Mus musculus: one gene and its partners. Each later gene encodes a partner of the first gene's protein in a complex. Links are inferred from orthologs where the notes say so. Each region holds a gene or a part of one and is shown in the gene's direction. Other genes may lie near its edges. The genes, in order: Snip1, Ppil2, Armc7, Srrm2, Sf3b5, Snrpe and Rbm48.

Region 1 (4,167 bases):
TTTTCCATGTGACTTTTCTCATCTTAAATTTGTCCTCTAAGGTCATAGCTAGGCTTCTTGTTCTCTTCTCCCAACCTCCATCCCTGTCCCAATTCCCTTGGCTGTCAGCCCCAGCAATCTGTCCCCTGAAATTCCAGAGATCCTCAAAGCTGGGATGTCTTTTCCCCATGGGAGTTTGTAGGATCTCGCGTCCCCTGAGACGCCTGTTCATACCGTGGGGCTCCGTTTCTCTGTATTCCGGCTCACCAACACCGGGGTGTCATATTTGAGCAGAGAGTCTGCTGGGGGTATCATGGTGGCAGTAGGGGTAACAACTCCGTAGCGGCCCCTGTGGAGTCTTGTTTGCGATCACCATGGAAACCCCTCCTCTCCTTGCCCCATGGATGGGGCGGGGCCTCTGAGGAAGGCGGTGCCGGCCGCGTGCAAGTTTTGTTCTACTGTGCTTTCTCCGCAAGCACTAAGTTTCTTAGTAAAGAAGACTGGACCCCTAGCGTTAGGTCTGTTTCGGTTTATGATGAAATGGACAGACCACCTTTGATTAAAACGGAAGTCATCTAGTGACTCTATAGAGTATTTGGCGACGATTGGCATTTGGAAGCCAGAGGCTGGCAGATCTTTGTGGATTCCAGGACAGCCAAGGCTATATAGAGACACTATTTCAAGAAACAAAAAAGAGTTTCACATTGTTGAGTGTCTGTGTTTCGTAACTACTAATAACGCGCAAGGAACAGAGCTGGGTTAGCTTTCCCACAGGTTTTTTTCTTTTTTCAAAAAAAAAAAAAAAAAAAAAAAAAAAAAGCTGGGCGATGGTACCACACACCTTAATGACAGCATTTGGGAGTCAGAGGGAGGCAGAGTTCAAGGTCAGCCTGGTTATAGAGTGACTTCTAGAACAGCCAGGGTACACTGAAAACCTGACTATGACGGGGGGGGGGGGAGATTGTCATATATATTTTTTTGAGGTTCTGGGGACTAATCCAGGGCTTCGTACTCGCGAGGCAAACGCTCGCTCGGTAACTAAGCTACAATCTCAGCCTTCCCTCCCCTTTTAACTCTTGATTTCTATTTGGCGGTGCTGAGGATGAATTCAGAGCTTTGCGATCTATCCGAGCTACAACTTTTTCAGATTTTGAGACAGTTTCACTAAATTGCCCAGGTTGGCCTCGAAATTACTGCGATCCTCCTGCTTCAGCCTCCCGGGGGGTTGGCCCTGCCTTTTCAGTACTCCAGCCACACCTCCCAGCAGCGGGGACCCCGTGGCCACTCGCGCCGGCGTCCCCAGCGTCTGAGACTCAAACACCTGGGGCCCCGCCCATCAGGGGGGCCGACACCGTGAAGGCTTCTGGGATAGCGCGCTGCCCGGAAGCGGAAGTGCAAAGCTGTCCGTCACTTCCTACGGCTCAAGTGGCTCAACGGACCGTGCAAGTGACTCTCGGTCGGGCCGCAGGATGAAGGCGGGGAAAAGCGAGCGGGAGCGGAGCGGCCGGCGGCGACACCGGTCAGGCGACGCTCTGACGACCGTGGTGGTGAAACAGGAGCGTCTGAGCCCCGAACCCGTCGCGCACCGCCGGCCCGACGCTCCAGCCGCTAGCCTGTCCCCGCCCGCCGCCGAGCCTGGCCACTCGGGTCACCGCGGGAGCCGAGCCCGGTAAGCGAGCCGGTGATTGGGCGGAGGACGGGATGGCGCGGGGGCCGGTGGTGCGAGCGGCTCTGGAGTGCAGAGCACCTGTTGAGTTGAAATGAGATTTCCCCCGCCTGCCCGCGAGTGGATGGTGCGAGTGGCTTCTCCCCTCGTCTGCCTACAAAGACACGTTGGGTCTTGGCGACTTCTTCGCAGCACTCATTCGCCAATGCCTCCATGTGGCATCGATTTATTGAGTGCGTAGTGTGGGTTAAAGATCAATTGGAGGTACTGGGTCACAAGGCAAAGAAGAGAGATGCTTTTTCCTTGGCGAAGTTGGGCAGGCTCTAACTCGAAGAAGGAAAACAACAAATAGATAATTTCAGTCAGTATTAAAGACAGATCAAAACGGCAGTGTGGTAGCGAGAGGCTGGGTAGAAAAAAGAGAGGGCTTGTACAGAGGTGCTCCTTAACGGAGACCTGGCTGGTAGGATTGATCCATTCTCTTGAGTCAAGAGTCTTTTAGCAAAGACTCCAGGAAGGACCAACCCACTGTGGTCGGGCATGCTTGTAACCCAGCAGAGGGGATGCTGAGACAGGAGGTTTCTGAGTGTATACACACAAACACGGCGCGTGCACGATTATGACAGAAAAATATATACATAGAACCTGAGCTGGAATTCTGTTTGTTTTAGAAGTTGAACAACAGCAGCAACAAAAACAAAAACAAAACAGCCAGCATATCTGGAATTGAGAGATGGAGCAGCATTGTAGGCTGGTAGGAAGGATGTGGGATGGAGGACAGGGCAGGGCCCTGAGACCTGCCAAGGGATTGGTTTTGGTTGTTGGAGAAGGGAGTTGTGTTAGGGAAAAAACCAGGCTAGATTGGCTTCCTGGATAGTAGTGCCAGATAGTAGGATGGCGCATCCGGAGAAGAAAGGTTTCTGAGGCGTTGGGGTTGGAGAATAAGGTTGTCTAGGTGAGAAGGCTTAGCAGGCCATTGTGTATGTGGTTGGGAGAAGTGTTTATGGGAAGTGAAGGCCTGCTGTGGCTACTGATCTCACAGATGTGTTGTGTTTAGTAGGTGAGCCTGATCCTGGAAGCTAACTTACTTTCGGGAAGGAACTTTGAGGTAAAAAATCCTGTGTACCATTCTCTGTAAAGGTCCCCAGCCAAGAAGAAAAGCAAGTCCTCTGGGAGAAGAAGCAAGTCACCACGGACCAAGAGAAGCCAGAGTCCCCACTACCCCATGGTCAAAGTGAAGCAGGTGAGTGAGTGAGTGAGTGAGTGGGCAGGGACCATGGGTGGAAAGCTCCAGCCCAGAGCTGTTGCTGAACCCCAAGAGGTTGGCAGCCAGGTGTGGACATGCTTCCTTGTCACTGCAGTGGGCTTTTCTAAAAATGGGATATGTATTTGGGGCTGTTTTTCCTGAAATTTTAACGTTTGGAGACAATTGTTGATTTGATTCTGATAACTCTTGTCAGAAATAATACGGAGAGATGTACATATCCATGTTTCTCTCAATGGCAACTTCTCGCACAGCTGGACAGTGTCGTGGTCAGGACACAGACGTTTCACCACCATCAAGGTGCCTCATGATGTCTGATACTTCTCCGCCTTTATCCTTCCTTACCTCCTGGCTGGCCGCTTCTCTCTTTCTATTGTTCTGGATGCACACTTAAGCCCAGGGTCTTTAGGTTAGAAGATTGTCCTTGGTGCTGTTGAAACCAGCACAGATGGGTCACGTTGGGTCTGTGAGTGCCCATGTGCTGTAGGACCAGTTTTTCTTTTTCTTTCTTTTTTTTTTTTTTTTTTTTGAGACAGGGTTTCTCTGTGTAGCCCTGGCTGTCCTGGAACTTACTTTGTAGACCAGGCTGGTCTCGAACTCAGAAATCCGCCTGCCTCTGCTCCCGAGTGCTGGGATTAAAGGCGTGTGCCACCACGCCCGGCTAGGACCAGTTTTTCAAAGGACATTGGTTGTCTCCATTGAATTATTTTACTCCCACATTGAAACTCAGTCAGGTATATGTCTATCCATGCAGACTCGATTACTGCACTTGCATAGTAAGTCTCAAACTGAATGTCCTCTTTGCTGCATATGAGCTGCCATGTGGGTGCTAGGAATTGAACCCAGGTCCTCTGGAAAAAGTAGCCAATGCTCTTGTCTGTTGCGCCATCTCTCCACACCACCCTCCTCTTTTTCTTTTTTTCCTTTTAGCTGTTCTGGTTCTTTCGTCTCCATCTCTATGTAAATGTTCGAGAGTGTGTGTGTGTGTGATAAAAATCTTTTAAAAATAGTATTTTTTTGCATGTGTATGAGTGCTTTCCCCGCCCCTGCATGTATGTGTATGCACTGTGTATGTCTGGTGCCCACAGGGTCCAGAAAAGAGTACCAGAGTCTCCAGAACTTGAGTTAAGGCTGGCTGCAAGCCACCTCATGGGTTCTAGCAACTGACCCAGCTCCTCTGGAAGAACAGAAAGTGCTCTAACTGTAGAGTTACCTTCTAGATTCCTTAGTAACATCTCGAAAGAGGCAGGTGTTGTGG
Region 2 (3,500 bases), on another chromosome or scaffold:
CCTCCGTCTCTTTTTTTCCTCCTCTGTCCCGTCCTCCCTGTCTCCCTCCAGCCTCCCTTCTTCCCTCTCTCCTCTCCTGTGGTACTTGTTGGATGTAGAACTTAGCACATGCTAGGCAAATACCCTGCTGCCACTCCCTTTTAGAATTCCACTTTGAGACAATGTCGTGGTAGATTGTCCAGCTAGCCTTGTACTCTGTTCTTCTGCCTTAGTTTCCTGGGTAGCTACAGTTAAAATATGTACTATCATGATTGTTTAATCAAAGCCCTTGAGGGCCACTAGTCCTGTGTGTGCTTTCTCTCTAGGGCAGTACCACTGTCCAGTGCTGTATTCCGTGTTCACTGACAACACCCATATTGTGGCCATCAGGACAACTGGCAATGTCTACACCTATGAGGTAGACCCCCATTGCAATGAGTGGGACTATCTAATGTTGGGCCCGAACGTGTGCCTGGCTGAGTGTTGAGGTTGAACCAGGAACAGTGAGCATGCCTGTCCTCATACCTTTCGTAGCCTCTAGCACAAGACATTATCTCTAAAATAAAGGTCAGGTGACTCTAGTGGCCTTTGGACCTCAAACCCAGGCTGGCAGTTTGGGCTGCCTAAGCAAGGATTCCTTGTAGCCTGGAAAGTATTACCCTCTCTTCAGCATGGACCAGACTCTGGAACAAACATGGGAGTAAAGGGAGATAAAAAGAGGCCAGGTTCTTAGGACAGGGGCCAGGTTGGCAGGAGGGACATGAGCTGTCTCCATTCCTGGCTCAGTCTAGGATGAGGACAGGCATGATACAGGAGGGCCCATGTTGGAACTCTTGCCAGAAGCGGCCAGGTTGGTTTGGCTAGTCTCTGCCAGACAGGTGAGAACTCTTGAGACTACCCCAGAGTGGCCCTGTGTGCTTGTTTACCTCATACCTCTGTGCCGGCCCAGAGGAACTGTGATATCTCTGTACTGCTCTAGGCAGTGGAGCAGCTAAACATCAAGGCCAAGAACTTGCGGGATCTGTTGACTGATGAGCCCTTTTCCAGGCAAGACATCATCACCCTGCAGGTAAAGAGCTTCACAGGAAGTGCCTTGCCTTGACCCTCCGCTCTGCCCTCTGCTCTGCACTCTGCCCCCCAGCTTTCTTCACCAGGCTTGGTGGTCACCTGTACCATAACACCCCTGCCTGCTGCTACCCAACTATTGCTTAGTGCCACCCCCTCCCCCTACAGCCACCATGGACCATGACTGCCTCTGGCTCTCATGGCTCCTGTATGAGGGCTACACTTGCCTCATAACTCTCTTAGGTGTTAGGACACTTAGGCTGCTTTTCAGGTCCCATCCCTACTCTCAGAACAGCAGCTACACAGTTGTCCCCGTGGTGGTGTGTGAATGGCCTCGAGGGAGCACAGGCTAGGATAGGGTTAAACGACTCTGTGGTTGTTACTGAAGCTTGGTCCAATGGCTTCCCAGTCCACATCCTGTGCTACCTGGCAGCAAGCCTCATTCCTTATTTTTGAGGCCTAAGGCAGGGCACACTGCTTGATGAACAGGTAGGCAGTCTGTGCCATCTTGCTTGTCACTGGGTTGGGGCACAGCCTTGGCCTCCTTCCAGCCTTCAACATCTGGCACAGGTGGGTGAAGTGCTTGACACAGTCCATTGTACTTCTGAGTGTTCTCTTCTTTTCACAGGACCCCACCAATTTGGACAAATTCAATGTTAGCAACTTCTTCCATGTGAAGAATAACATGAGAATAATAGACCCAGGTATGGACACCTAAAGGCTACTGTGAGTGACTACATGTTCTCGGGCAAGTCCTTCCTTCTGGGGGGCCCAGACACTATGCTTCTGAGTGGCTTTTGACTATCATGACATTTGCTGTATAGATGAGGCTGTCCTTAAATGTGCAGCATCCTCCTGTGTTTCCCTTCTAAGTGCTGGCATTACAAGCGTACACAACCATGTCTGTCAGACGGTTAGAGAAGCAGCTGAAACACAGACACCTACCTTTCCCTAGCTCTGGTGGGACTGTGCTTTCTGGATTGCCGTTGGCCACTGTTCTTTCCAGGGTACAGTGACAGGGCTGCAGGTGAGACTGGGTGACATGAGACTTGTCTAGGGCCCTGACCTTCCTGCTTCCTGTGCTTGGTCCACACCATTGACCACACTGTAACATACTGTAATGTACTATAACATACTATGCAGTGGCTCAAGTTTCTGAGCTCACTTGTGCCATGCCAAGGAGCCAGCTACACACAACTCAGGGATAACTGCGCTCAGGAGACCCAGAGGCCAGGCCTAGGGAAGCTCACTGCCCAGTAAGTTACAGCCTTTGGCCTAGCAGGCAACATGTGGCCTTCCTTCCCTTGAAATAAACACGTTTAAATTCACAAAAGCAAAACATCATTGTGAAAAGGCTGCAGTAGAGGTAATACAGGAAACAGGGTGACTCCCACATCCCTTCAGGCCTGGGGCCACTCACCATGACAGCGTCTTCTGTGTGCTCCACCAACCCCCTTGTTGCACCTACTAGAGCTCCTGCCAGATGATCAAGGGCAGTAAGTCATGGCTGTGCTAAGACCAGCGAACCCTGCCCTAATCAACTCACCTGTGGCTTCTTCTCATGTGGCCTTCCCCATCTCTATTCCTATTAGCTCATCTTGAGGCTCTTTGGGGCCTTGGTTTTCTGGGGCCTTGGCTGCTCCGTTCCAATATACTGTTTTATAGATGAGGAAAAGGCCAAACAAGACCCATCTTATTATTTGAAAAACACAAATTCGGAGACGAGAGAGACGCTACAGGAGCTCTACAAAGAGTTCAAAGGAGATGAGATTTTAGCAGCTACCATGAGGCCACCTGAGAAGAAGAAGGTGGACCAACTGAATGCGGTGAGTGGGGCACTCTGCCTGACCGAGAAAGATCCCAGGGGAGGTGCTCACGGGGCCTAGATGCATTTGCTGGCATGGTGGCAGGGACCTTCCCAGTGCTGTTGGGCCCTCCAGGGCTGCTGGGGTGACTGGGCCCCAAACAGATCAGGAGGGAATAGCACACTCTTGGGGTGGAGGAATGGTTGACAAGCTGGGGTCCCATGGCAACAGTGGCTCAGCAGAAATAGGGCTGCCTTATGCTACTGGCCCTGACACAGGCTTCAGTGACCAATGTTCCCGCTTTCTTTGGTGTTCCAAAGGCAGCTTTTACATTTCAGGACAGAGATAGGAGGGTGTGCAGATCTGTGATGGCAGGGAGGGCTAGGGTTGCTATAGCTACTAAGGTCTCAGCCCTTACCTGGGCCCTACCGGGGACGAGCATGCTTCTCTGCCCTATGCCGTAGCTACAGCTGTGGTGCTGGAATTTCTTTAGCACATTTAGCCGATAGGTGCTGTCTTTCTCCCAAGTAGACTGAAGTCTGGAGAGCCTGAGCCATGGGGAAGGCAGAGGTGGAGTCTCCCACATAGGGATTTTCTAGGAAAATGTGGAAAACCAAAGTTCATCTATAATTTCCCAAGCTGAACACAGCT
Region 3 (2,650 bases), on another chromosome or scaffold:
CTCTGCCAGGGCCATACACTGTCTTAGCTGTTGAGCCACTTATCTAGCCTGGAGACATTATTTTTAAGCTCTACATGGTATTTTTTATCCAATGAGCTTGCTGTAATTTACTTAGACTTAGCATGTCGTGAGGTTTCTGGTTTCTTTTTCTTTCTCACTATCCTTTTGGGGGAGGGCTGATGCTGGGGACAGAAGTCAGGGTGACTCCCAGGGTGGACTCCTGAAGCCTTGGCAGAGGACTGGGTCTTGGTGACCTTGCAGTCCCTGTCCACAGGCAGACTTCTCCCCAGGCCCAAGTGCTTCCTCAGGACTCACTAGCCAGAGAGAGGCTGGGAGGCGAGACAGAGGAAAACCAGAACCCAGGCACCCGGCTCATCCACCTTTGCCTCTCTCCAGGGGGGCTCTGCAACCTGTGCGCGGACAAGGCCAACAAGGAGCACGTCCTGCAGGCGGGGGGCCTCCCGCTCATCATCGGCTGCCTGTCCAGTCCTGACGAGGAGACGGTGCTGTCTGCTGTCACCACTCTCATGTACCTGAGCTCGCCAGGCTCCCGCTCCCATCCCGAGCTGACCTCCCTGCCCGTGGTCCAGTGCATGCTGCGCTTCTCCATCTCTGCCAGCACACGGCTCCGGAACCTGGCCCAGATATTCCTAGAGGACTTCTGCTCGCCGAGCCAGGTGGCTGAGGCCCACAGCCAGCAGGCCCATTCTGCCCTGGGGATCCCACTGCCAAAGACTGAGGCCCCACAGCAGCCCTGACCCAAGGACACTTAAAGATCCTGCCACAGGTATAGGAAGCAGAAGGCTAATAGCATCCTGAGCCCATCCTGCGCAAAGTGGTGCTTGTTCAGCTGCATGCAAGCTGCAGTCTTGGCATGACAGGCGTTTGCATCCAGGGAAAACAGGAGGAGGGACGAAGCCAGACTTGAGATGCTTAGAGGAGAACCAAAGCTGGTATGGCTTTCATGGACTGGCAATCAATAAACTACAGACAGACCACCACCTCTGCTGCCCCCAGTGCCCAGCTAATGCCCTCGTGTAAGAAGCTGTGCCCCTGGGAGAGTGGCCAGTACCATGAGTGTCCAGAGTAATTTTGATGGCTAGAGATCAATCAGCCTTATTGTCTGGGGAAATGCCGTGGGTTGACTCCTCCCGTGTTGAGGCTGAGTATCTGGGCATGGTAGCATTGACTTGGAGAGCTCTGCAGAACAGAAACAACTATCCACACAGCCCTGCTCTCTGCGAGGCGCCCTAAGAGGAATGCAGAGGTGAAGTGTCTTCCCTTGGGTGTCACAGCTTAATGAGTGTTAACTAAATGGCCATTGGGCATGAAGAACAAGGCCCTACAGGTGTGAGAGCAGAATGAAGGAGAACTGAGGGCACCCGGGCATGCCTTGTCTCTCTGGAGAGGCCCTACATAGGATCCTTGGGTTAGACAGCAAGACAGTGACTTCTGTTTTACCAGGCTGTGGACCACTCATGTGCCAGCTGCCAAGTGTGGCATCCCTGTCTTTTCAAAAGAGTTGCTCTGGCCCCCTTTGCCTATGGGTCAGATCTTCTGACACTTGGGTGGGAGCCCTGAACATGAACCTTTCATGGGCTATCCCAGTCTGCTTCCTGCCATTCTCTCAGGAGCCACAAGCCTCCAGTAGGTACTGTCAACCCCTCAGGACTCAGATGCAGACCTTCCATAAAGACACCTAGAAACTAATGTCAGGGGACCATGGCGGCCCAACCTCTAATCTAATCCCTTGAGAGACAGGAGCGGGATAGCGATGAGTCTGGTCCACCTAGTGAGTTCCTGACCACAAAGGTCCGATAGAGTCTAACGAGCTCCTGTAACTGGTTACCCCGCCCTCCTCTGCCACTGAGAAGAAAAAATGGAATTAGGGGATAAGCGAAGAGCAGTCCTGACAGGAAGTGGAGTTTAGGGAAAATGGGGGCCCTGATCACTCAGCATTGTCCCCCCTCAGATGGACAACGAAAGCTGAGGAAGGAGATCTACAAGGGCTGGAGAGGGGCTGTCGTACAGCCACTGGATGAAGGAAGGCTCCCGCTCCCATCCTGAGCTGAAAAGGAAAAGGAGCATCAAAGATCCAAAGCCTCGCGTTTGGTTTTTATTTTTATTAAAAACCTCCTGATTTTCTCCACTGTATTTGTGTGCTAGTCTCCTTCTTTCCCGTGTAGGCCTCCTGGGAGGAGCCGGAAAGCAGTCTGTTCAAGTGGCTCCCTGATTAAAGAAAGTCACCTGTCCAGGCAGGGTCCTGTCCACCTCAGGGTCCTTCACAGGCTGGCTCGCTTGCTCTCAATGATCCCCCTCCAGTTGTCACTCCAGGAAAGCAGCCGTCTCCTGGTGGGGGGCAGGGCCAGGTGCTGATTGTGGCAGCAGGTGAACAAGATGTGCTCCCAGCTTGGGGTCTCCTCTAGGCCTGGGCAGTAAAGACAGCGTGCGCTCTGTAATTGGGTCATTTTTACTCCTCCTTAATCCCAGCAGGCCAGATGCCTGGGGGTTGTCAAGGTTAACTGGCTGGCCCAACCTTGAATGTTGTCTTTGTCATCAATGAGCAGGTCTCCCATGACCACCGTCTTGTCCCTAGTCAAGATAATCCGCTCCACAAACTCTGGCCCCAGGTTCTGCTCCACCCAGCGGT
Region 4 (3,500 bases), on another chromosome or scaffold:
TACAGCAGCTAAAACTGCCCTCTTGGGTTGAGATGTTGTTCCTTCAAGGAATCCATGTCTGAATGTGGGATAAACAATTTTAGGCTCCTCATCCACCCAGACGCAGTAGTGCTTTGTCTCTTTTAGTCTTGGGACTCCAATAATACTCTTGCTCTTGCCACAATAGCCACATTTGCCACAGGTCAACTTCTGAAGGTGGTGGTTAAGTGCCTTAGTGCCATAGAAGTGGCACATGTACATCGAATTATGACCAAGGATGATGTTTTCTTTTGTCATCTTGCTTCTGCCCAACAAAAAGTTTTCTTTTTTTTTTTTTTTGATTTCTTTTTTTTTAAATTAGGTATTTTCCTCGTTTACATTTTCAGTGCTATCCCAAAGGTCCCCCATACCCACCCCCCAACAAAAAGTTTTCTAAAAATTACCTTTAACTTTACTACTTAAAGTATCTATATCCTTTTTATTGTATGCTTGTCATGAGTTCTTACATTTTTCAATCCTTTGATTTGATGCCACCAATCTGAAAGCATGAAAGAATTATCTTTTTAGTAGTTCCTGTTTTATATTCTCTATTCTAGTTCTGTGGCTGATTGTTTCTACTGGTTTCAGTAATTAATGTAACTTAATATTTCCCGTATTGTGTCTCATTTTAAAGATAAGTTACAAGAAAACTTTGCTGCTTGCTATGGTGTTTGTGGTGTTTTCTGTAATTAAGCTGTTTTTATGGTTTGGCCTGTTCCTGTAAGACCATGGTGAATTAATTTTTGTGTGTATGTATGAGGGGGAGGCAAATGTGTTACATGTGTTTGGAGGTCAAAGGACAAAACTACCTATATATGTGTTCTGTGGATTGAACTCTGGTTACCAGGCTTATGTTGCAAGTGCCATCTCATTGACTGTTGGTCAGTATGTTTGTTTTTGAGACAGGGTCTCCTTACATAAGGCCCTGGCTGTCATGCAACTTAATACATAGTTCAGGCTAATCTTAAACTCACAGAGCTCCACCTGCCTCTGTCTCTGAAGTACTGGGATTAAAGGCATATATGGCCATGCCAGGCCCCTCTTGATAAAATTTAACACATTATACACTTTAAAACCTTGTGCCCATTTGTGATATTTTAAGTCAGTCCATATTCAGGTGAAAGTTATTGTCACCCAAACTTTCTCTTTTTGTTTAATTATACCTTTTTTGGGTGGTGTTGTAGTGTTCATTTGCAACCCATACACAACGTCAGACACTTTCCCTTGAAAAGAAAAAAACATTCAATAGAGATGACTTGCTTGATGAGTTTAAAACACTCATCAAAAGATATTGAGTAAGTTTAAGAGAACAATGTACAAAGCAAAAAAAAAATTAAGAGGTAAGATAAAAAAAAAGGAAAATGACTTAGTAGGTGAGTAATTGGTTGCTAGTGATAGTCTATGTGTAACCCCAGTATGCAAAATGGAGACAGGGCTGTCTGTCTATAAGGTGTACCACAGGGCAGGTGGTATTTTGTTGGTAATGCATTGTTTACATTTTCTTGTTTCTCTGAATTACTACTTGAGGTTAGAGATTGTTTATATGGTCAGGTTTTTCCCTTGCTACTTTATTTTCTCATTGTTAAAAATGCATTTATTTTGTGTGTGTGCATGTGATACATGCACATGTGCAGTTCATAGAACAATTTTGAAGAGTAGGTTTTCTCTTTGCCACCTCATGGGCCCATTAAGCTATCTTACTGGCTCCCAACTAAGCATTGCATATTGTCTTGTTACTGAGTATAACTATGGGTAGGGAAAGGGTCAATTGGTATAAGAAGTATATAGTGTAAAATTTTATTAGAAACTCTTCGTATCTTATAGGATAATGAGGTTTTGGTGTTTTTTTTACTATTCCTACTTCTCTTTTCACTCTTAGAAATCTGCAGTTCGACCTAGCCCCTCTCCGGAAAGGAGCAGCACAGGGCCAGAACTACCTGCCCCTACTCCGCTCCTTGTTGAGCAACATGTCGACTCCCCACGACCCCTTGCAGCAATCCCGTCCAGTCAGGAGCCAGTTAACCCCTCATCTGAGGCTTCCCCAACCCGGGGCTGTTCACCACCTAAGTCTCCTGAGAAACCTCCCCAGTCTACTTCCTCAGAAAGTTGCCCACCATCCCCTCAACCTACCAAAGGTTCTCGGCATGCCAGCTCTTCTCCTGAAAGTCTTAAACCCACACCAGCTCCTGGGTCCCGTCGAGAGATTTCTTCTTCACCCACATCTAAGAATCGCTCGCATGGCAGAGCAAAGCGGGATAAATCTCATTCTCATACCCCATCTCATAGAGCAGGGAGGTCTCGTAGTCCTGCCACTAAGAGGGGACGGTCTCGATCTAGAACCCCCACCAAGAGAGGTCACTCCAGGTCCCGGTCCCCTCAGTGGAGAAGGTCAAGATCTGCACAGAGGTGGGGAAAATCTAGAAGTCCCCAGAGGCGTGGCCGTTCAAGGTCTCCTCAGAGGCCAGGTTGGTCCAGGAGCAGAAATACCCAGAGAAGAGGCAGGTCTAGGTCAGCAAGGCGAGGCAGATCACATTCTAGATCTCCAGCTACTAGGGGCAGATCCCGATCTAGAACACCAGCTAGAAGGGGTAGGTCTCGGTCCAGAACACCTGCCAGGCGAAGATCACGATCCAGAACACCTGCCAGGCGTAGGTCTCGGTCTAGAACACCAGCTCGCAGGGGCAGGTCCAGATCAAGAACACCCGCTCGCCGCAGGTCTAGGACACGATCACCAGTTCGAAGGAGGTCTCGGAGTAGATCCCAAGCTAGGAGAAGTGGTAGGTCTAGGTCCAGAACACCAGCCAGGAGAAGTGGCAGGTCAAGATCTAGAACACCAGCCAGGAGAGGGAGGTCCCGGTCTAGAACGCCAGCCAGAAGAAGCGCTCGATCTCGGTCTAGAACGCCAGCCAGGAGAGGGAGGTCACGATCCAGAACACCAGCACGACGACGATCTCGAAGTAGAAGTCTTGTGAGACGTGGAAGATCTCACTCTAGAACACCACAAAGAAGAGGACGATCTGGCTCATCCTCAGAGAGGAAGAACAAATCTAGAACATCTCAGAGGAGAAGCAGATCCAACTCAAGCCCAGAAATGAAAAAATCTCACGTTTCCTCAAGACGGAGCAGGTCTCTTTCTTCACCACGATCCAAAGCAAAATCTTTGAGGCGAAGCCTTTCAGGTTCCTCTCCATGTCCTAAACAAAAGTCACAGACACCAACCAGGCGAAGTCGTTCTGGTTCTTCACCACCTAAACAAAAGTCAAAAACACCACCAAGACAGAGTCGTTCAAATTCTCCTCAGCCTAAAGTAAAATCTGGAACACCACCAAGACCAGGGTCTGTAACAAACATGCAGGCTGATGAATGCACTGCAACACCACAGAGACAGAGCCATTCTGAATCATCACCTGATGGTGAGGTGAAATCAAGGACCCCATCAAGACAAAGCTGCTCTGGGTCTTCTCCTCGAGTGAAATCTAGCA
Region 5 (2,480 bases), on another chromosome or scaffold:
TAGTCTCTATATTTTAGGAATAAGATGTGTATTATGTTGTCTAAGTCTTGGTGTTGGTTGGTTTTATTTTTTTTTGAGACAGAGTTTCTCCTTGTAGCCCTGGCTGTCCTGAAACTAGCTCTGTAGACCAGGCTGCCCCTGAACTCAGAGATCTGCCTGCCTCTGCCTCCCAAGTGGTGGAATTAAAGGTGTGTGCCACCACCACCTGGCATGATGCTTATTATGACAAAATTTAAACAGAAGAATTAATATTGGATGGAGCGGAACTCACCTCTAATCCCAGCATTCAGGAGGCAAAGGCAGGAGGATTGCTGTGAGCTCAGGGCCAGATCCTCCCCCCACCAAGTAAACAAAAGTACCCCCAAACTCCTGTATTTTCAAATTGTCTGTCATTGTCCATTCTCTTTGGCTGTGACTGCTCTTACCCCATTCCTAAAATGGTTTTTTGAGAGTACAATCTACATCAGGCTATACATGTATCCTTAAGGGATACCATAAAAGAAGTACAATTATCTTTTCTGAGTTGTTTGTAACGTGAGAAAGTGCACAACCCCCAACGTAAGGCAGTAATCAGCAGAAAAACACAGGTGACTAGAAAGAGAGGTGTTCTTTCTATCTATCTATCTATCTATCTATCTATCTATCTATCTATCTATCTATCTATCTATCTATCTATCTATCTATCTATCTAGTCTTGAACCACATCTGACTTCAAGGAATAGCTTTTGAGTGACCTAGAGCAAACAACCCCTCAATGGGTTGAGAAACGGGAGCCTGGAGCTCGTTGTGGGAGCCATTAGTGAGACTACTGGGGCTGACACTGATCACCAAAAATACTTTTCCCAGTGCCCAAATTCTAAGAGACAAAGCTGGGACCGCGGGGGAACCATGCTGCCACGTTAGCTTCTAGGTACAAGAGTTAATTTTCCTGGTTGCTTGTAGTTGAAACCCTCTTGGATTTCCCCTTCTTAGTAGCCCAGAGCCGTGGGATAACTCTCAGAGGCCGTTTGCCATCGTCCTACAGCAGCCAGGCAAAAACAAAACAAACAAAACAAAACCCTAAAACAAACTCTTTGGACTACTTGTTCCAGAATGCAACGCTCAGACTAGAACGTGATCACCCGAGAGCCACTAAGCGGACCATCATGCAACACTCTTCGAAGTAGGCGGGCTCCGTGAGGAGACGGCCCAGTGTTTCCTAGGCAACTCCAATCCCGCGACAGACGGCACTTCCGCTTCCGCCTAGGAAAAGACTGTCTACTCCTGCGTCTCGGTGGCGTCTTTCTCCCGCGCCTGCACGAACTGAGGTTTTGCGTGGCGGCGGCGGCACCGGCAGCGGCAGCGTCTCTCACTTGAACGCCGCGAGCGGCAGCTTCTCGTCTGTGTCCTGACCTCGGAGCCTACGAGCAGAGCGGCGCGATGACGGACCGGTACACCATCCACAGCCAGCTGGAGCATCTGCAGTCCAAGTACATCGGCACGGGCCACGCCGACACCACCAAGTGGGAATGGCTGGTGAACCAGCACCGCGACTCCTACTGCTCCTACATGGGCCACTTCGACCTCCTCAACTACTTCGCCATTGCCGAGAACGAGAGCAAAGCCCGCGTGCGGTTCAACCTGATGGAGAAAATGCTGCAGCCCAGCGGGCCGCCCGCGGACAAGCCCGAGGAGAACTGAGGTGAGCGCTGCCCAGTCTTCCCCGTGTGCCGGCTGCGAGCCTCCTTGCTCCTGCATCTCGACCATTCCGTGTTGGCTGTGTCGCCTGACCTGCGTACCTGTGGAGGATTCGGAACAAGTCATGGAGAGACTGTCCGGGTCCGCTCCTTGTGAACTGTGCAGAAGGAGTGATCCCAGCATCGGCAAGCGAGGGAGAAGACTGCACGAGAGTGATGCGCATTTCGAGTCTGCTTTTCGATAGTTGATGTCTTCTTGCCTTTTTAAAAAACCATATATATATAAAGTTTAGGGTTTGCTCTATTCTTTGGTATGGATTGCTGTGTTCTTTGGGAGGTTATTAGGAGAGGGTTCTGTGGATCAAGGTTTTGTGAGAGTATAAATAGGAAATGGGGGCAGAAGCACAGGGCAAGTCCTTAAGTCGTCACACACACTTTTATGATATTATCCCACCTCAATAGTCTTCACGCGTACAGTGTGTCTGGTCCCAAAGAAACCTTGAAGCGCGGAGATTGCCCATATCCCTTTCCTACCCTTCCCTTTATGCGCTACCCCTTACCCCTTTTTCTTGATGATTACCCTTTGTGTCTTCAGAAATGATAAACTGGCAAACAAGTGGTATCACGTCCCCATCCTGCTCAGCGCCCCATTCCCCCCACCCCTCTTCCCTTTTCACCAGAGCATTTTCCAAAGGTTTGAGGGCATACATTATGCCAGCTTGAAGAGTTTACAACTTTAAAAACCATGCTTACAATGCTACTTTACTGAGATGTCATTTGAGAACAGATTTTAAGGAATCAAGA
Region 6 (3,928 bases), on another chromosome or scaffold:
TAAATTTTGATCATTTCCCTGGTAAGCAGCTCTAGGTACTTTCTGGTGAGGTGGGGGGCAGCTGCAGCTTCAAGAAAGGCTGCTATGTTGTGTTGCTAAGCGATGGCATTGAGTAGACTAGGCATATACATTTTCAACAATTTTCTGTGTGCATGTGGAGGCCAAAGGATGTCATCAAGTGTCCTTCTGAGTCACTCTTCACCCTACCTTCTGAGACAGGGTCTCTCATTGAACCTAGGACTTGGCGATTAAGTTAGACTAGTTGGCCATCCAGCCCAGGCACCCTCCTTCCTGTCTCTGGAATTACAGGCATGTAATTTTGTGTAGGTGCTGGTTGACAGACCTCATGTCCCACCTACCGAATCATCTCCCCTGGGCCCAAGGTATCTGCATTAAATGCATTTTTTTTTAACTTACATTTCTAACTTACCTTAAGTTTATCAGGTTGTATACCATGTAGGTTGTTTTGTTTTGAAACAAGGCCTCATGTAGCTTAGATCTGGAACGTACTACTTAGCTTAAGGTCATACTCACCTTGCGCCTTCCACAAGCTGAGATTACAGATGTGTTCTAGGAGCACCTGTGCACTACTACCTCCCTGAATCTTCACCTCCTGTCCCCTTGCGGGACGGAGATGCTGAGGCCTAATGACTTAATTATCACCGGTCACACAACTGAGAGAGATCTGAGTCCAACAAGCCGATTTCAATACCTCCAAGCTAGTTAGATTGCCATCTTCAGTTGCCACTGCAACAGTTAACTCTGCATAAAGGTGATGAGGGTTGAATCTGTTATTGAACAAGCCACAACTCCACCACTGCTTCGGGCATGACCATCTAGACTAGCTCTGGGGCCCAAAACAAATAAGGGGAGTCTGCAGATGGTTCTGGACAAGATGCCGCCTCTAAATTCCAGAGCAGCTCTCAGAAGAGCACCTAGGCAGAGGCAAGCCTCTCAGCCTACCTCCAGGTGGCGCTGTAGGACCGACCTCGACTTCAAAGAGCGGTTGAGTCGGAAGGCCGCCGGCGGAGTCTATCAGCATAGAGAAAAAGCGGCTCCTGGCCTAGAGAGGCGTTCCCCAGGACCGGCCCGCGTCGCCGACGACCACTGCACTTCCGTTTCCGGGTCTTGCTTCCGGAAGTCGCTTTCCGAGGCGGCCTTCCTACTCGTGTGGTCTTTGTGACTTCCACCATGGCGTACCGCGGCCAGGGCCAAAAGGTGCAGAAGGTGATGGTGCAGCCCATCGTATCCTACGCTGCGTGAACTCGGGGCTTTGGGGGCCGTAGGCGCCGTGAGCGTGGGCGGGGAGCCGGGCAGCCCGCTGCGGGCCGCTTCCCGTGAGGCCCTGGGGCGAACGGGGAGGCAGGAAAGCGCGCGGAGTTGAAGGGCGGCGGGAGGCGGGAGGCGGAAGGCGGGCTCCGGGTGGACCCGGCCAGGCTGGCGATCCGCGATGAAAGCGGGGGATACCGAGGAGGAGAGGAGGATGTGGGCCATCGGGAAGGTTGGAGAAACGAGGGCGGTGGGGAGGGAGCGCATGCTCCCGGCGGTCGTTTGTGCTTGCGGATGTAGCCCGGCCGGACCTTGGGGCGCTGGAGAGTCCGGCGCGGTTGGGAGCGGAGGCTCCGCTGTTTGTGTAGTTCTTTTCCTTGATCGCCGTGCTGCAGAACCTTATCTTCAGATACTTGCAAAATGTACGTAAGTTGTTTCCTTACTGTTACTGAAATGAAAGTTGGGCCTGTTTGACTCTTTGTAACAAATTCTCTGTTTCTAGTGCTTAGACTAAAAAATTGGGGGGGGGGGAGAACCAGAGTTGAGGATAAGGTCACAGGGAAAGCGCTAATTATTAATATGTCCGTGCTGACTTAAGGATGCACACAGTTACCATTATTCTGTAAGAACAATGTAATTATATTTACTATTAAAATTACTCTGTAAGAACGATTTGTCATCGGATTTAGCAGTGACAGTTGCATAGTGCTTTTTCCATAGTTGGACTTAGAATGGAGAAAAGACACCAAAGCGGGGTTTGGGGGAGTGGGGGCGTTATATACAGAGAAGCGAGTGGCAAATGCTCTTCTTTGAGGAGATTTTAGCGATGTTTATTTTAGAGTGTTACAACACAGATGAAAAATCGTTTTAAGCCATTGTAATTTTTAATCGCCAGATTCGCTTTGTACTATCCTGTGAACAGTTCTAACTGTAAGTGTATTCATGCCAGAAGCAAAAATAAATTTTCAGAGTAGGAAAATTAGTTTGGACAGGCCTGCCCGAGCACTTATTAAATGTTTCTCAGCAGGTTAACCAGTGTTGCTAGCTCTTAGATGAAGACTAACTAGTTCTAGTTTTTGGCTTATATTTATTGGAATTTTTAAGATAAGTCGTTTATTGTGGAAACAAAGTAATGGAGTGGGATTTGTTTACATTTCTAAAGTCATTATTTTTATTTCAGAGATCTCGAATTCAGGTGTGGCTGTATGAACAAGTGAATATGCGGATAGAAGGTTGTATTATTGTGAGTACCCAGGCTATTTTTCCTCAAGTTGTTATTAAAAAAGACATCTCAGAAGATGGCCAGTAAGAACAATATACAAGGCGTCAAGGACCCAACCCAAAGAAAGCTCTTCAGAGCTGGAGTTATTTATTTAGCCTTTTCTCCTTGCTCTGGTTAATAGGGTTAGATAATACTTCTCTTAAGAGGAAGGGAAGGGAGAGGTTAGGCGGTGGTGGCGCACGCCTTTAGTCCCAGCACTCGGGAGGCAGAGGCAGGCGGATTTCTGAGTTTGAGGCCAGGCTGGTCTACAGAGTGAGTTCCAGGACAGCCAGAGCTACACAGAGAAACCCTGTCTTGAAAAACCAAAAAAAAAAAAAAAAAGGAAGGGAGAGTTAAGACTTTTAAGAAGAGCTTCGTTTGTGAGGAGAGGGAACAAAAACAAAATGAGAGGGGGGCGGGGAGTGATAAAGGACTTGCATTCTGGATTAGATCATGCCAGAATAGAGCTGGTGGGGGTGAGACTTATGGTTTGTTAGGCTTCTATCGTGATGGTGTTGGGGATCAAAGTACCTGCTCTACCACACAGCTACCATGGCAATAAGTTTTTGTTGTTATTTTAGATTTATTTGTCTGAGTGTTTTGCCTGTGTGTGTTTAATGCCCAAACAGGCCAGAAGTTGTTGGCTCACCTGAAGATGGGTGATTGTGAGCTTCCATGTAGGTGCTGGGAACCAAACCTGGGTCCTTTGCAAGAGCAGCAAGGAAGGATTTGTAACTCCACCACCTCTCCCGTCTCTGTTTTTCCTTTGTGTGAGGCAGAGTCTTTTAAGAGAGACTTACACATGGAAATCCTCTTGTCTGAGCCTCTTCAATGTTTAGATTAATAGCCATGAAAATGGAAAAAAAATTTTTTTAAAGATTTATTTATTTTTATGTGCAATGGTGTTCTGCCTACTGTTATTTGTGTGAGGGCACCAGATCCCCTGGGACTGGAGTTATCAACAGTTGTGAGATGCCATGTGGGTGCTGGGAATTGAATCTGGGTCCTCTGGAAGAAAAGCCAGTCTTCTTAACTACTGAACTGTCCAGCTCTGGCATTGTTATTTTGAGGCAAGAAATTGCTATGTAGCCCAGTAAAGGCCTTGAACTTCCCATCCTGCCTCAGCCTCCTGAGATTTACAGACGTGCTCAGCCTCACTTTTTTTTTTTCTTTTTTGCATCAAGGGAGTGAGTGGGGTTGCTTTGTACATACTCATATGTGTGGATGTATGTGCTAGAGGTATCTTTTATTGCTCTCTGCTTTTTGAGCCTGGAACTCATGGATTTAACAAGACTAGTTGGCCAGCACTAGGTGCGGCTGCAGGCCACTGTGCACTGCATTGTTTGAGTAGGGATCCAAACTCATGACTGCATGTACTTTACCAATTGACATGTCTCC
Region 7 (4,300 bases), on another chromosome or scaffold:
GTAATTGCTAAAAGCAATGACCTCTCAACAAAAGTCATATTAATACTACACAAAACCAGGACAGGAAGCTGGGCGTGGTGGCGCACGCCTTTAATCCCAGCACTCGGGAGGCAGAGGCAGGCGGATTTCTGAGTTCGAGGCCAGCCTGGTCTACAAAGTGAGTTCCAGGACAGACAGGGCTACACAGAAAAACCCTGTCTCGAAAAAAACAAACAAAACAAAACAAAACAAAACAAAAAACCAGGACAGGAAACCTCATGTGTATCTAGCTCCACCTTTCTATAAACAATAAAGATTAGATATAAGCATGCAAGACTTAATCCAAATGCTTAGTATTTTACTTCTTCACTTCTCAAATAATAATAAAAATAATAATAAAGACCAAGACTATGTAATTCCTAAACAGTGATGAATCCAAGGAAGCAACAACATGTCAGGTTCAAATTCTTAGCGACCATAAGGAAGCATTTTTCTAAACTCATGGGGTGGTAAGCTTAATTTGAGATTTGAAAATACACTGAAAAATCCCCATCAGAAATGACAGGGAATAATGATCCAAGCTGGGATTTGGTAACAGTGAATGATTCCTTTCAGTCACCAGAAAGCAAACCAGAGAGTTAGAGAATATTTGGTGGAGATAAACTAACAGTAAGAATGGTTCTGATGAAATTGGTGTGTTCTGATAGGTGGACTGTAAAAGCAAGATAAATGTAGCAAAGAGGAAATAAAGGTAGAATACTTGAAGTCATTTCAAACTCTTGTATATTTTTTTTATGACCCAGTGTTCAGGTACCATGCATCTAGGATTTTAGATTTCAAATACTCTAACCCCATGAATACACTCAAACTAAGAGAGTCTATTTCTGCTCACTCTTAGGAAAATATGGATGCTGTATTTCCACCGATGGTTAATAGCCTTGAAACACCATAATGACAGAATCCAGACAGCTCGCTGAGGTCCAAGTAATCCTAGCTACCGAGGTGAAAGTGTGGGGTGTGAATAATTCCATCACCTTGTCACCCCGCCCCACCTCCCTCGCCGCACATATTCTTGCTATGTTCGAAGTCCTCCGGAGCAGGGAGAGCTATCTATCCTTTTATTAACCTTTCGCACAGGTTGGAAACCTTGGTAATCTACAAACCAAGTCTGCCACTCAACACCTCTATCGCTGCACCGGCAACTCGTTGGCAGGATAATGCTTTAGCAACCTGTAAGCAAACCTGTAAGAGCTCTCTAGAACTTTCCATCCTTGAGTGAGGGCCGCTTCTGACTGCTGGGGCAGAACCCTTGCATGCTCAGCTTGCTTTAACCGAGTTAAAGGGGTGCACTAGGAATTCCACGGTAGGGTCTGAGGATACACTAGCCGTGGTGTGGATGCACACGCTGCCACTCCACGCCATGCCCGCAGGGGGCCCTCGCTCACGCCTCAGCTCGGGGTCGGTGGCAGACGATGTCCCTGCAGGAAAAGGTGTCAGCTGACCCTAGTCCCACGAGACGTCAGTGGTGTCCGCGTCCCGCCAGCGCGTTACCTGCAGCAGGTGAAGCTGGGCCACGAGGCGCCGCGGCAGATGCAGGAAGCAGTCCCGAGCATTCGTGAAGGCCACCGTCACGACCGCCCCACCAGACCCCGCACCCGCTAAGCGATCGCTGCTCCACATTGTCCCAAGGTTCAACTCTCACCGGAGAGCGGAGTCCACCGGCTTCTCGTCAGGTGAGAGCGTCGGAACCCGAGAACATCGATCAGGCCCGCCCCCCTCTTCCCACGCCCGGCCGCTGTCACCCTCGGGCCACCTCCGAAGCTCTAGGGGGCGGCACGTCGCTCGTCGAATTCTCGCTCTCAGGAGATGATCGTCGATGGGGTCGATCCTTCAGCCAATCCTAGCACGCCTGGTCCATCCTGCTCTCTTATTGGACTCAGAGGAGCGCGGCTGGCGGATGTTGTTCTGGCGCGGGGGACTAGAGCCGGCAAGATGGCATCCAGTGACGGGAAACCTGGTGGCGTATTCGATCACCACGTCCAGACGGCTGTGTGTGACTCGCGGGCCAAATACCGGGAGGGCCGACGCCCTCGCGCGGTCAAGGTAGAGTGACTCGGATTCTTCTCTCCCCTCGGCAGGGACACTAAATTCCTGTGAGCACTAGCTCCCCAAGGCCTGCCTCCATAAAGGCATGGCAGGGATGTTGTGAGATCCATCTCTAAGTGGAGGGGGCACGAAGAACCCGGGCCCCGGTACCAAAGGTTATCACTACCCTCGGTTAGCTGCTTACCAAACCTCCAACCCACTATTTTTAGCTTTGTATCCTATGTGTTTACAATAGCGCTTCTCACAGGGCAAGCCCAGGGTGAGTGAGTGTTCAGTGGCTGTTTACATTAACCTCTCTGGAGTCAGCTTTTGGAAAAGACGTCTGTTAAGTGGTTTAGTCAGATACCCTTATGTGGAGTGTGGTAGTCTTTAGGCAGAAGAGTGACAGTTTAGTGTGTATGTTTTGCAGACCGGATTGTTTCTTGTTTTCAAAGCTCCATTTAAAAGGGGGTGGGAGGACCGATTTGCCATAGGCTTGTTTGAAGAGTACATTTAACGAGGTCTCCTTTGACTTTAGGTATATACAATCAATTTGGAGTCTCAGTACTTACTAATACAAGGAGTTCCTGCAGTGGGAGCCATGAAGGAATTAGTTGAGCGTTTTGCTCTGTATGGTGCGATTGAACAGTATAACGCTCTAGATGAATACCCAGCGGAAGATTTTACAGAAGTTTATCTCATTAAATTTGTGAAATTACAGAGTGCAAGGTATGTACAAGTTAAGCAGAACTCCTGTTAAAATCTTATTCCTGTTGCTGTCATTTTGGCCCCAACTGTTTCCCAAATGTACCCAAAGCACAGAAGCACTTCTTGCTCTCAGTCTTCCTGATTGGGGGGAGGAGGGGAGGGGACAGGGTTTATTTGGATAGCCTTAGCTGTGCTAGAATTAGTTCTGTAGACCAGGCTGGCCTTGAACTCAAAGATCCCTTTGCCTTTGCCTCTGACTCTCGAGTGCTGGGTTTAAAGGTATGCACCACTCCACCTCGCCTTCCAGTTTGTTTTTCACCAGGCCTCACATCTGCGACTTAATCACTCTAACAGTGAGTGACATCCCAGCTCTTCCTTCAAGCTTTTAAAAGGCTGACTTTACAACAATACTCTTCCCATCCTCTCATACCTGTGCTTGGCAAATTTTGAACCTGTAGTGTGGTAGATTAAGAATTACGTTTGAAGTAAATTATCAGTCCTGTGGATTCATGACTGTGGAGAATTTTAGTCCTCCAAGCAAATTTTTGTTCTTTTCCTAAAATCCATATGGCAAAAAGGACTACTTCTTGAGGTTCACTGAGCAAGGATGAAATGGGACAATTTATGTAAAGGGAGTAGACTGGTACCTCCTATTAAGAGGAAATAGTAGAGCCGGGCAGAGGTGGCACATGCCTGTAATCCTAGCACCAGGGAGGCAGAAGCAGGTGGACCTCTTGAGGTGGAGCCAGCCTTGTCTACAGAGTGAGTTCCAGGAGAGCCAGGGCTACACAGAGAAAACCCTGTTTCCAAAAAACAAGCAAACAAACAAAAAGTAACTATTAGTAATGACAGTTCTTATTTGTATAGTTCTATGTTAATCAACTTTGTATTCCAATAAGGAATGCTTTATTTTATGTTAACCCCTTTTGGCGGGGGGGGGGGGGGGTGCATGTGTGTGCATATTCCTGTGTGTGTATGTGTGTGTGTGTGTATGTGAGTGAACACTAGCCTGAAACTGGCTGTGTAGACCAGCTGACCTAGAACTCAAAACTTCCTCCAGACTCTGCCTACCCATCTCCACCAGGTTCAAAGGCTTGTGTGCACTACAGTGTACTCTATCCTATTTTTTGAGGTTGGGCCCCTCCCTCACTGAGCTCATTGGCTAGATTGGTGACTGTCAAACTCAGTGATCCTTCTATCTCTACCCTGTGAGCACTGGAATTACAGGCACAGTGCGGTGCCTGGCTTTCACGTGCATGCCAGGGGTCTGAGCCAAGGCACTCCAGCAAGGGCTTTTCCACCGGAGCAGCCTTCCTAGCTCATGTTAGCCATTTTTTCATTTTAATCACTAACCTTATCTAAACCATATCTTTTTCTGGCTTTTGCTATTCATAAACTTTTTTTTTTTTTTTGGTATGGAAAAAGACTTCAAATCCCCTGGAGCTGAAGTTACAGGTGGTTGTGAACCACCCAAGATGGATGCTGGGATTTGACTCTGCTCTTCTCAAAGATCAGCAAGTGCTCTTTT

The links.
Region 2: Snip1 (region 1) and Ppil2 share a complex: the UniProt entries of both Homo sapiens proteins name them as parts of the minor spliceosome. The link is inferred for Mus musculus from reciprocal best matches to the Homo sapiens genes SNIP1 and PPIL2.
Region 3: Snip1 (region 1) and Armc7 share a complex: the UniProt entries of both Homo sapiens proteins name them as parts of the minor spliceosome. The link is inferred for Mus musculus from reciprocal best matches to the Homo sapiens genes SNIP1 and ARMC7.
Region 4: Snip1 (region 1) and Srrm2 share a complex: the UniProt entries of both Homo sapiens proteins name them as parts of the minor spliceosome. The link is inferred for Mus musculus from reciprocal best matches to the Homo sapiens genes SNIP1 and SRRM2.
Region 5: Snip1 (region 1) and Sf3b5 share a complex: the UniProt entries of both Homo sapiens proteins name them as parts of the minor spliceosome. The link is inferred for Mus musculus from reciprocal best matches to the Homo sapiens genes SNIP1 and SF3B5.
Region 6: Snip1 (region 1) and Snrpe share a complex: the UniProt entries of both Homo sapiens proteins name them as parts of the minor spliceosome. The link is inferred for Mus musculus from reciprocal best matches to the Homo sapiens genes SNIP1 and SNRPE.
Region 7: Snip1 (region 1) and Rbm48 share a complex: the UniProt entries of both Homo sapiens proteins name them as parts of the minor spliceosome. The link is inferred for Mus musculus from reciprocal best matches to the Homo sapiens genes SNIP1 and RBM48.

Annotation. Positions count from the first base shown.
Region 1 is NC_000070.6:125,065,305-125,069,471, forward strand, and holds the start of Snip1 (smad nuclear-interacting protein 1), read left to right. Parts: upstream 1-1,367; 5' UTR 1,368-1,448; coding exon 1,449-1,648; intron 1,649-2,702; exon of another isoform or gene 2,703-2,785; coding exon 2,786-2,888; intron 2,889-4,167. Other genes in the region: Dnali1 (axonemal dynein light intermediate polypeptide 1), read right to left, coding at 214-294. UniProt on the Homo sapiens protein: Required for pre-mRNA splicing as component of the spliceosome. As a component of the minor spliceosome, involved in the splicing of U12-type introns in pre-mRNAs. Down-regulates NF-kappa-B signaling by competing with RELA for CREBBP/EP300 binding.
Region 2 is NC_000082.6:17,094,253-17,097,752, reverse strand, and holds part of Ppil2 (RING-type E3 ubiquitin-protein ligase PPIL2), read left to right. Parts: intron 1-305; coding exon 306-397; intron 398-958; coding exon 959-1,048; intron 1,049-1,672; coding exon 1,673-1,748; intron 1,749-2,709; coding exon 2,710-2,870; intron 2,871-3,500. UniProt on the Homo sapiens protein: Has a ubiquitin-protein ligase activity acting as an E3 ubiquitin protein ligase or as an ubiquitin-ubiquitin ligase promoting elongation of ubiquitin chains on substrates.
Region 3 is NC_000077.6:115,488,317-115,490,966, forward strand, and holds the end of Armc7 (armadillo repeat-containing protein 7), read left to right. Parts: intron 1-396; coding exon 397-758; 3' UTR 759-2,150; downstream 2,151-2,650. Other genes in the region: Nt5c (5'(3')-deoxyribonucleotidase, cytosolic type), read right to left, coding at 2,283-2,428, 2,537-2,650. UniProt on the Homo sapiens protein: As a component of the minor spliceosome, involved in the splicing of U12-type introns in pre-mRNAs.
Region 4 is NC_000083.6:23,813,225-23,816,724, forward strand, and holds part of Srrm2 (serine/arginine repetitive matrix protein 2), read left to right. Parts: intron 1-1,897; coding exon 1,898-3,500. UniProt on the Homo sapiens protein: Required for pre-mRNA splicing as component of the spliceosome. As a component of the minor spliceosome, involved in the splicing of U12-type introns in pre-mRNAs.
Region 5 is NC_000076.6:13,007,204-13,009,683, forward strand, and holds Sf3b5 (splicing factor 3B subunit 5), read left to right. Parts: upstream 1-1,246; 5' UTR 1,247-1,419; coding exon 1,420-1,680; 3' UTR 1,681-1,980; downstream 1,981-2,480. UniProt on the Homo sapiens protein: Component of the 17S U2 SnRNP complex of the spliceosome, a large ribonucleoprotein complex that removes introns from transcribed pre-mRNAs.
Region 6 is NC_000067.6:133,607,481-133,611,408, reverse strand, and holds the start of Snrpe (small nuclear ribonucleoprotein E), read left to right. Parts: upstream 1-1,128; 5' UTR 1,129-1,191; coding exon 1,192-1,245; intron 1,246-1,664; coding exon 1,665-1,691; intron 1,692-2,449; coding exon 2,450-2,512; intron 2,513-3,928. UniProt on the Homo sapiens protein: Plays a role in pre-mRNA splicing as a core component of the spliceosomal U1, U2, U4 and U5 small nuclear ribonucleoproteins (snRNPs), the building blocks of the spliceosome.
Region 7 is NC_000071.6:3,593,748-3,598,047, reverse strand, and holds the start of Rbm48 (RNA-binding protein 48), read left to right. Parts: upstream 1-1,500; 5' UTR 1,501-1,530; coding exon of another isoform or gene 1,531-1,659; 5' UTR 1,660-1,845; coding exon 1,846-2,082; intron 2,083-2,602; coding exon 2,603-2,793; intron 2,794-4,300. Other genes in the region: Pex1 (peroxisome biogenesis factor 1), read right to left, coding at 1,531-1,659. UniProt on the Homo sapiens protein: As a component of the minor spliceosome, involved in the splicing of U12-type introns in pre-mRNAs.